Linked DNA regions of Arabidopsis thaliana. The protein of the gene in region 2 interacts with the protein of the main gene of each other region in a biochemical or structural test. Each region holds a gene or a part of one and is shown on either strand. Other genes may lie near its edges.

The links.
Region 1: the proteins of AT5G16220 (region 2) and QKY form a complex in vitro, tested with the Arabidopsis thaliana proteins (one study listed by BioGRID).

Annotation. Positions count from the first base shown.
Region 1 is NC_003070.9:28,073,119-28,076,874, reverse strand, and holds the start of QKY (C2 calcium/lipid-binding plant phosphoribosyltransferase family protein), read right to left. Parts: upstream 1,949-3,756; 5' UTR 1,703-1,948; coding exon 1-1,702. Other genes in the region: EDS16 (ADC synthase superfamily protein), read right to left, coding at 2,913-3,218, 3,346-3,443, 3,535-3,619, 3,712-3,756. UniProt on the Arabidopsis thaliana protein: May be involved in Ca 2(+)-dependent signaling and membrane trafficking. Plays a role in fruit dehiscence. Components of the machinery involved in organ development mediated by the receptor-like kinase STRUBBELIG (SUB).
Region 2 is NC_003076.8:5,298,604-5,302,359, forward strand, and holds the start of AT5G16220 (Octicosapeptide/Phox/Bem1p family protein), read right to left. Parts: upstream 2,040-3,756; 5' UTR 1,977-2,039; coding exon 1,159-1,976; intron 614-1,158; coding exon 1-613. UniProt on the Arabidopsis thaliana protein: Collaboratively with SUB and QKY, regulates cell growth anisotropy during gynoecium development, thus linking together cell-cell communication and cellular growth.

The DNA of each region.
Region 1 (3,756 bases), on a different chromosome or scaffold from region 2:
GAACCAAGCAATCTTCCAACGGCTCTCCAGCAACAAAGATCATATCCTCATGCCAATGAAACGAACCACTGTGGTTATTCATTGAGCCTCTTCTTGTACGCGCCGACTGAAACCCTAATTGAGCTTTCACACGAATCTCAGGCGCAGTCAACGGCGGGAGATTAGGAGCTATGTGTAAATCCTGTGCCTCAAGAACCGTCACTCTCAAGTACCAAAGTTTCGGCGATTGATACACCTTAGAACGCGTGTGAGCTACATGCGGAGCATCAGAGCTCCAAGCCTCCGGAAATGCCTCATCTACCTGAGTACCAATCCAAACAGAGAGCTGAATGTCACCGGAAATTCTCCCAGAGTTCTGATCCGCGCCGGAGCCTTCGAGCCGATACCACTGAGGAGCAAGCGGACTATCCGGCGGGTCACGAACCGGAACCTCAGAGAGATCAAAACAAACTCCTCCGAGAAAACTCTCCGACGAAGCATCCCAAGCAGAGATCTCAAGAGTCGCACCAGTTACAGCGGAATCAGACCGGTTATGACCAAGAGCAAAAACCTGATTCCACTCCGGTGAATCAACCGATTCGCCGGGCCGGTTAACGGCCGGTTTAGACCTGACGAAATGGTTCGACGTCCGTACCTTAACATACGCGCTCTCGTTAGGTGGTAAGCCACGCGCCTTCACAATCCGAACGAAGAGATACTGCATTGGCTCAACAAGATTGTAAGGATGATGAGTCTTCTTCTCCATCGTCGTCTCTCCTCCTCCAGTTTTGCTATTGATAACCCTAGGTGAATAATCTCCATTCGGTGGTCTCTTCGTAACCCTAATTCTATCTCCGCCGGGAGGTCTTCCTACTTGCATCTTCCTCACTTCCGGTGGATAATAATGTACTTCCCCAGCCGATGGAGGTGGCGGCGGAGACGGTGGCCGTTGAGGATGGTTATCATTTCGGTGAGGATGGTTATCATTTGGACCTTGCATTACATGCTGCGGTGGTGATTCTTCAACAATAACCACCGGAGGTTGCTGATGTGTCTCTGTATAGCGCTGACTCTGAGCCGATTCGAAAACCCTACCTTCTTCAACCACAACTACATTAGGTTTCTCCGGTGGTATATTCATCATCTGCTGCGGCGGAGGATGAAATTGTTGCTGGTGTTGTTGTTCATCGGCTTCTTGTTGCGGCGGATGAAATTGTTGCTGTTGCTGTTGTTGTTGCTGTCCTCCACCTCCACCCGCCGTGTCTTCGTCGGCGGCTTCGTCGTAATAGTAGATTTTGAGTCCAATCTCGCCGCGAATCCAGCTGAACACACTCTTCTTCTCCAAAGGGAAATACACAAGACCTTCTTCACCTCTTCGCGAGAACTGGCTTCCATAGATCTTAACCCTACCGAGAAAATGATTCTTCCGGCCACCTCCGTTACCAAATCTTTTATCGTTATAAACCTCGATATCGAGCTCGTCGTAATCCATGTTTTTGGGATCGGAGACGGCGAAATCAAGCATCTCGTTCCAAATAGGGTTTAGGTCACGGAACTTAGTGGAGGTTCGTTTCTTCTGAGCATCGAAATCGACAACGACGTAAGCGCTAGAGCTTCCTTGACCATCTTTAGGGAGAATATTACGAGCTTCAACAACTTCGACAACGAGCTTACGCTGGATCCTCGACGGCGGAGGATCCGAGTGAAACGGCGTCGTGTTCATCGTAGTGGTAGTCTTCTCATTTCTCGAGAATGTCTTCTTCTCTCATTAAGATAGTGAGAGAGAGAAGGTTTTGTTGTTTGTGACAGAGATTACGGTAATCGCGGAAGAGAGATAATAGAAAGTTTTTTTTTCGAGGTCTTGCTTTTTTTATTTGAATATATTCCTCTTTAAAGCTTTATTTTATTTACATGTTTTTAGTACTAATGAAATCTTAATTTCCATTAATAAACTAAAAACAAATCCTATGTACTATACACTATTTATTCATTTCATTAGTTTTAATTAAAACTTACTAAATATTAGCTAAAACTGTTTCTGACACGAGTGTAGATAATTAGGTTCATATTTGTGTAGTTTGTGACAAAGTAAATCTAGGTAAAACGTAATGAGGCCAAAGCATTGTGATTAGTAAAATAAAAGAGATGAAATGGGTTGGTTAATTAGAGTGTTAAATATGATTAATAAACCTAATTGAGGTGGAGGGTAAAAAGGGAAAGGAATATATGGTGTTAGAGTGGGGATAATGGGAAATCTGATTCCATTCTCTATCGCCAAGCCTTCGTTTGATTCTTCACTTTTTACATGCGCTCCATTTTTTTAATTGTACTATCTCATTTTATTTGTGTTTTTGTTGACGTGTTGATTCTTCATTTTATAATATGGTACTTTTCAATGTTCCTATAAACCACCACACATGAAAAGATATGGCGAGTAAGGTTGTTGGATGGTATTTATAGTTATATAATAACAAAGTAGTTTCTTAATCTAACGAAAGAAGATGATCTGAAACGCTAACTTATAAAGGAATATTAATATTTACCATTTGCATAAAAGCAGATTCCGTAAACCTGTCCTACACGGCTACATCATCGTTGAAAGGCCCAAGCATTCTACGGATTTTTGCTTAATCGAGATAATAAGCATAGATTACTTCACTCTGAAGATGGGTCACTTCTTGCTAAATGAAAATTGAAAAAATAAATTCAATTTGATTCGATTGTCATGTCAGTTAAATTCAGTTCAGTTTTAGATCCATATTGAATATATCTGTCTTTGAAGAAAAACACTATAGAAGCTCATTAACAATCATAACAGCTAGGCCTATGAACATTCATGATAGGCCTGCCCTAGTTACAACCCGAAAAGGCTCGGCCCATTAACAAATTAAAGCATTTCTTTTTTAATTTACAAGAGAGACAACATTGCTTTCTTATTGTGAGAACCCCTTATCCCCCATACAAACAAAACAATCAAATACAAATGTTACTCTTTCTTCAATTAATCGCCTGTAGAGATGTTGTTGCTTCATATTCAATTGACTTGGTGAACTGCAAAAACAACAACAAAAGAGAGAATAAAAATTAGGATTTTGGTAACAGAGAACCATGATGTCACTAAACATTTTCTGGACAAAAGCTCGTACCTGAGATATCTTAAGATCAAGCTCATTCCACTCTGAAGATGGGTCACTTCCAGCTACTATCCCTGTCCCCGCATAGATCAATGCCCCAAGACCCTGTAAATCAAAATACAGTTCAGCATTTTTTTACAAGTTGTAGCAAAAACCGTAATGATCGATTTTGCTATAACAATTAGTGTTAAAGTGTGTTTTTTAAAGGGAGAAAGAGATCAAATAAGCTCACCTTTTCGACTAGAGCTGATCTGATCCCGACTGCAAATTCACTCTCCTCGCCACCAAAAAATCCAATAGGTCCCGCATACATTCCTCTATCGAATGATTCTAGAAGAAGCAAAATGTTTGAGTCAGCATAATTCTTAATCTCTACATCTATAGTTACTAGAAGATAGTTGAACCAAGGTAGATATTTTACCTATCTCCTTAATCAAAAGCCTTGCTTCTTCTGCTGGAAGCCCACAAACAGCTGGAGTTGGATGCAGAGCAGCCAATATTTTATACTATAGACAGATAGAAAGAAAAAGGGTTAAAGCTAATTCGAAGAAATGAAGAGCTTGGAAATGTAAAAACTATTCCAATACTATTATCTCACCTCATCATCTTCCTTCGTAAGTCTCCCTGCCAATTGAGAATATAG
Region 2 (3,756 bases):
TTAATACTGAGACGGTAATGTGGGAGCTGGAGGCTGAGATTTGTAAATTTGAGCATGAGCTATATCGTTGTCGTCATCGACATCGGTATTATAGATGAAAGCATCTCTTGAAGTAGTATTAAGAGTAGCTTCACTTGATGTCTGTACCGATGAATCAACGGGTTTGGATAGAGGATAAACCTGTGAGGAAAACTCTGGCGCTAGAGGGCTGCTGGTGCGGACCACCGGGGAATCAACTTGGTGATAGTTTAAAACGGTGCTCGGTTTCACAGGCAGTGCTTGAACGTGCCTCGAACTGTACTGCTCGACTGGAATGTAATAGATTGGGTATGGTTGTGGCGGACGCTGATAATAGACGTGGTTTGTGTGATGGTATGCTGTGGCAGGCAATGTCATAGGTGAGTTTCCGGTAATGTAAGGTTGTCCAGTGTAAATGACTTGGATATGTTGTTGTTGAGCTTGGTTCATAAATGGTGGATACCCGGAAATTGGGACTGGAACTGGTCTGTTTAGCTCAGCCACATACAAGTTTGAAGACGGTTTGTTCTCAAAAGCATGTGAGTGTGATGGTAGCTCGTGGGAAGGTATTGGGGTGACTGCAGAATTGTCGTTGCTGTTCGTAGAGTAAGAACAAAAGGAAAAATGGTTAACAGTTACAAAAAGGCTTTCCAACTAAACAAGGTTTAGAGGATTGGCACCTTCTCTACCAATACATATAATTCGAAGATTACATTCGTAGCTGAATACCAAATGAGGAACAACATATCCCCGAGACTCGGAGCACATTGATCCGAATTGAGAATTACCATAACACAATGGCAAACGAGACAAACTCCTGATTGCCTAAGCCTATGAACTCATTCACAGATCATATACATGAAGACGAGAACCTAATTCGACTACAGGATCATTCCAAGAATTCAGTTTCTGTTTCCAATCATTACTTCAAGAGATAGCTTATATATTACCACATTTAAACTCGTTCTGCAACACTACCAAATTCATTTGTGTCACTGGCTAAACAATTCAAAAACTCATAGCACATTGCATTTCCTAGACAACAAATTGTGTACATAAGTTTTAGAACGCTTACACCTAAAACTATTCGATAAAGCAATCAAATGGTGAAATCAAACAGTTAAGAGCATAGAAGAATACCTTGTCACTGATTCTATTGGCGCAAATTTGACTTGCGAGTTCGCTATGTTGTCCTCGCCGGAGCTTTTTATCGGAGGTAAATTGCTCGACGAAACCGAGGATGATGTCGAGCCAAAGGATGAATTAGTCTCTAGCATCATCGACTCCTGTCCACAAATCCCGCCGTTACCATCTCCACTTCCGCTAGTTCCGCTATTAGTTCGTCTAGTCTGCATCATCTCCACGCTCTTCAAAGCGTCTACGAACCACATCTCCGTCTTAGGGTGCTGAAGTACCGGCTGAGTCAATTCTTCACGAATAGGCTTATTAGACTCTTCGATTCCAAGCCAATCGATATCGGTCTCCACTTTACACTGATCCGAATCTCCCTGACTCGCACCAGCTTCATTCGATTGTTGTGATTTCAATGGGAAAAGAAACAATCGGATACGCGATTGGGGAATCGAGGACTCGGAGGAGAGATAACCGTGTTCTTCCATCATGATCTGAACATCCTCATCCGCCTCGACGGAGATAAGCGAATCTAGTTCCTGATCAGGAAGCTGATATTTAACTTTGAAAGGATAAGAGATTTTGAGCGTAACCGTAAGGTGGCTAACAAGAGAAGCGAAGCTCGTTTCCGCGGAAGAAGGAATGGCGACGATTCGAGTATCTCCGCCTACATAACGCGGCGATTTCGTCTGCGGAGGTGAAACTATACTACCGCCATACCTACACATCACCCGTAACTTTCCATTTCTTTCATTCTTCTTCCATCTCGGTGTGACAACCTTCGCGCCTTCCGCTACGGTGGCGAAAGCGGAGGAGACGGTGGTCATGGAGGTGCGATTTTGGTTTTTTTTTACTTCTGAGTTTCCTACTTTTTTGGGCAGACGCCGTTTATAAGCGGCGAGTTTTTTTTTAATCGAATCGAAGTTGTTTAGCTTTACTGTGACGGTAACGTTATCATTAACTGAATGTATCAGCATAGTAATTTGGGCCCATGTACTGATATTCCCGAGCGCGTTACTTTTAAAACGGGTTTAGAACCGGGTCGGGTGAATGATAATCCAGACCGGGTTTAACCCGGTAGAGTAATTCTGCTTTATTCGATTTTTTAGTTTCTTCAGTGTCGAGAAATGTTAATTAGTTCAATCATTGTTGTTTCTTTAGTGTATTATAGATTTGATACAATTTTGGTTTGATATATAGTGCTGATTTGAGGTGGACTTTATATTTATTTCGGTTATATTCGGTTTAGGTGTTACGGTAAGAATTCGATTAGAAATTTGCGAGTGATAAGAAGATGTAAAAACTAAATTATTCAGAAATAGAAATCTCATGAATTTTTTCAGGGTTAGTGGTACTAAATTTAATATTTATAATAACAATAAAAAAAAATGATACTAAAGTATCAATACTAACTTCTTCTTTCTCACTAACTTACTAATTAGAGATTATCATATTTATTTAATTAGTTGTCTAAATGAACAGGTTAGAATATTGATTCGGTTTGGATTGAACAAAAGCTTAAAAGCGAACGGTCTGTGCTGAGTTGGGTTCGTGTTGGATGAAATTAAGTTTGTTTGGTTCGGTTTGGTTAATAAAATCAACACTCGTAAATCGTAATAATGCCGTTTGCTGATATGAGAAAAAAAAAACAAATTTGGTTAATAAGATACTCGTTTGGCTCATTCTATATAACGTGGATCGATTTGAGGTATCATCCATAAATACATTTACCGAAGTAAGATCAAAACCAAGCTTCTTTTTATTTGTGTTTTATGCCCCAAAACCGACGAAACTGTATGTTCAAATCTCTGAGTTACTGTTTTTATAATGAAAATAAACATTAATACTTACTTAGTTACTTTTTACCCAAACAAAGCTAATTGAAAAAAATAACAAAAGTTTAATTGTAAAAATCATATTGCGGAATTCATTTAGCTTATGCACGTTTAGGATACTCATGATTTTTTTTTCTTCATAATTTTCATTATGATCCCGGAAACAGAAGTTACGTATGGGAAGATAAAAGCAATATTGTATACTTCAACGTTTTTTCTATAACCAGTATATTTTGACAAATTCCAAACTAGTTTTCAAAACCTATGATTAAAAGATTCATCACAATATTGGAAACCAAAGATTCGAATTTTTCTTCAGTAAACGTTTCAGATACTTTCACTTTAGCGTTTTCTATACTAATATACTTATTTCTTTTGAAATTTCTTTCGTAGACACATACCCTCTTGAAGTCTTGATTGGATTGGAGTAGGTTTCTGGTTAAAGTATAGTTGGAAAAAGAAAAGAAAAAATATGTAACGCTTATACGTTAGAGGACCAAAGATAATATAACGTACGTCAGAGAATCATAATTAACGTAACACTAAAAATCATCAGTTACCTAAAAAGAAGACCAAAATTGTTTTTATGTTAACATGATCAATAGTGTTTAAGATAACAGAATGTCATGGAAATTAATCTAAAATACCTTTCTCTCCCGATTCGATTTTCAAGTGCAAGAAATCTTGTGATAGTATTACCTAGTTGGTTCTTAGTAGAATAGAAGAAATAATATCAAGTGACGAAATTTGAGAGATATATACTATATAGCGG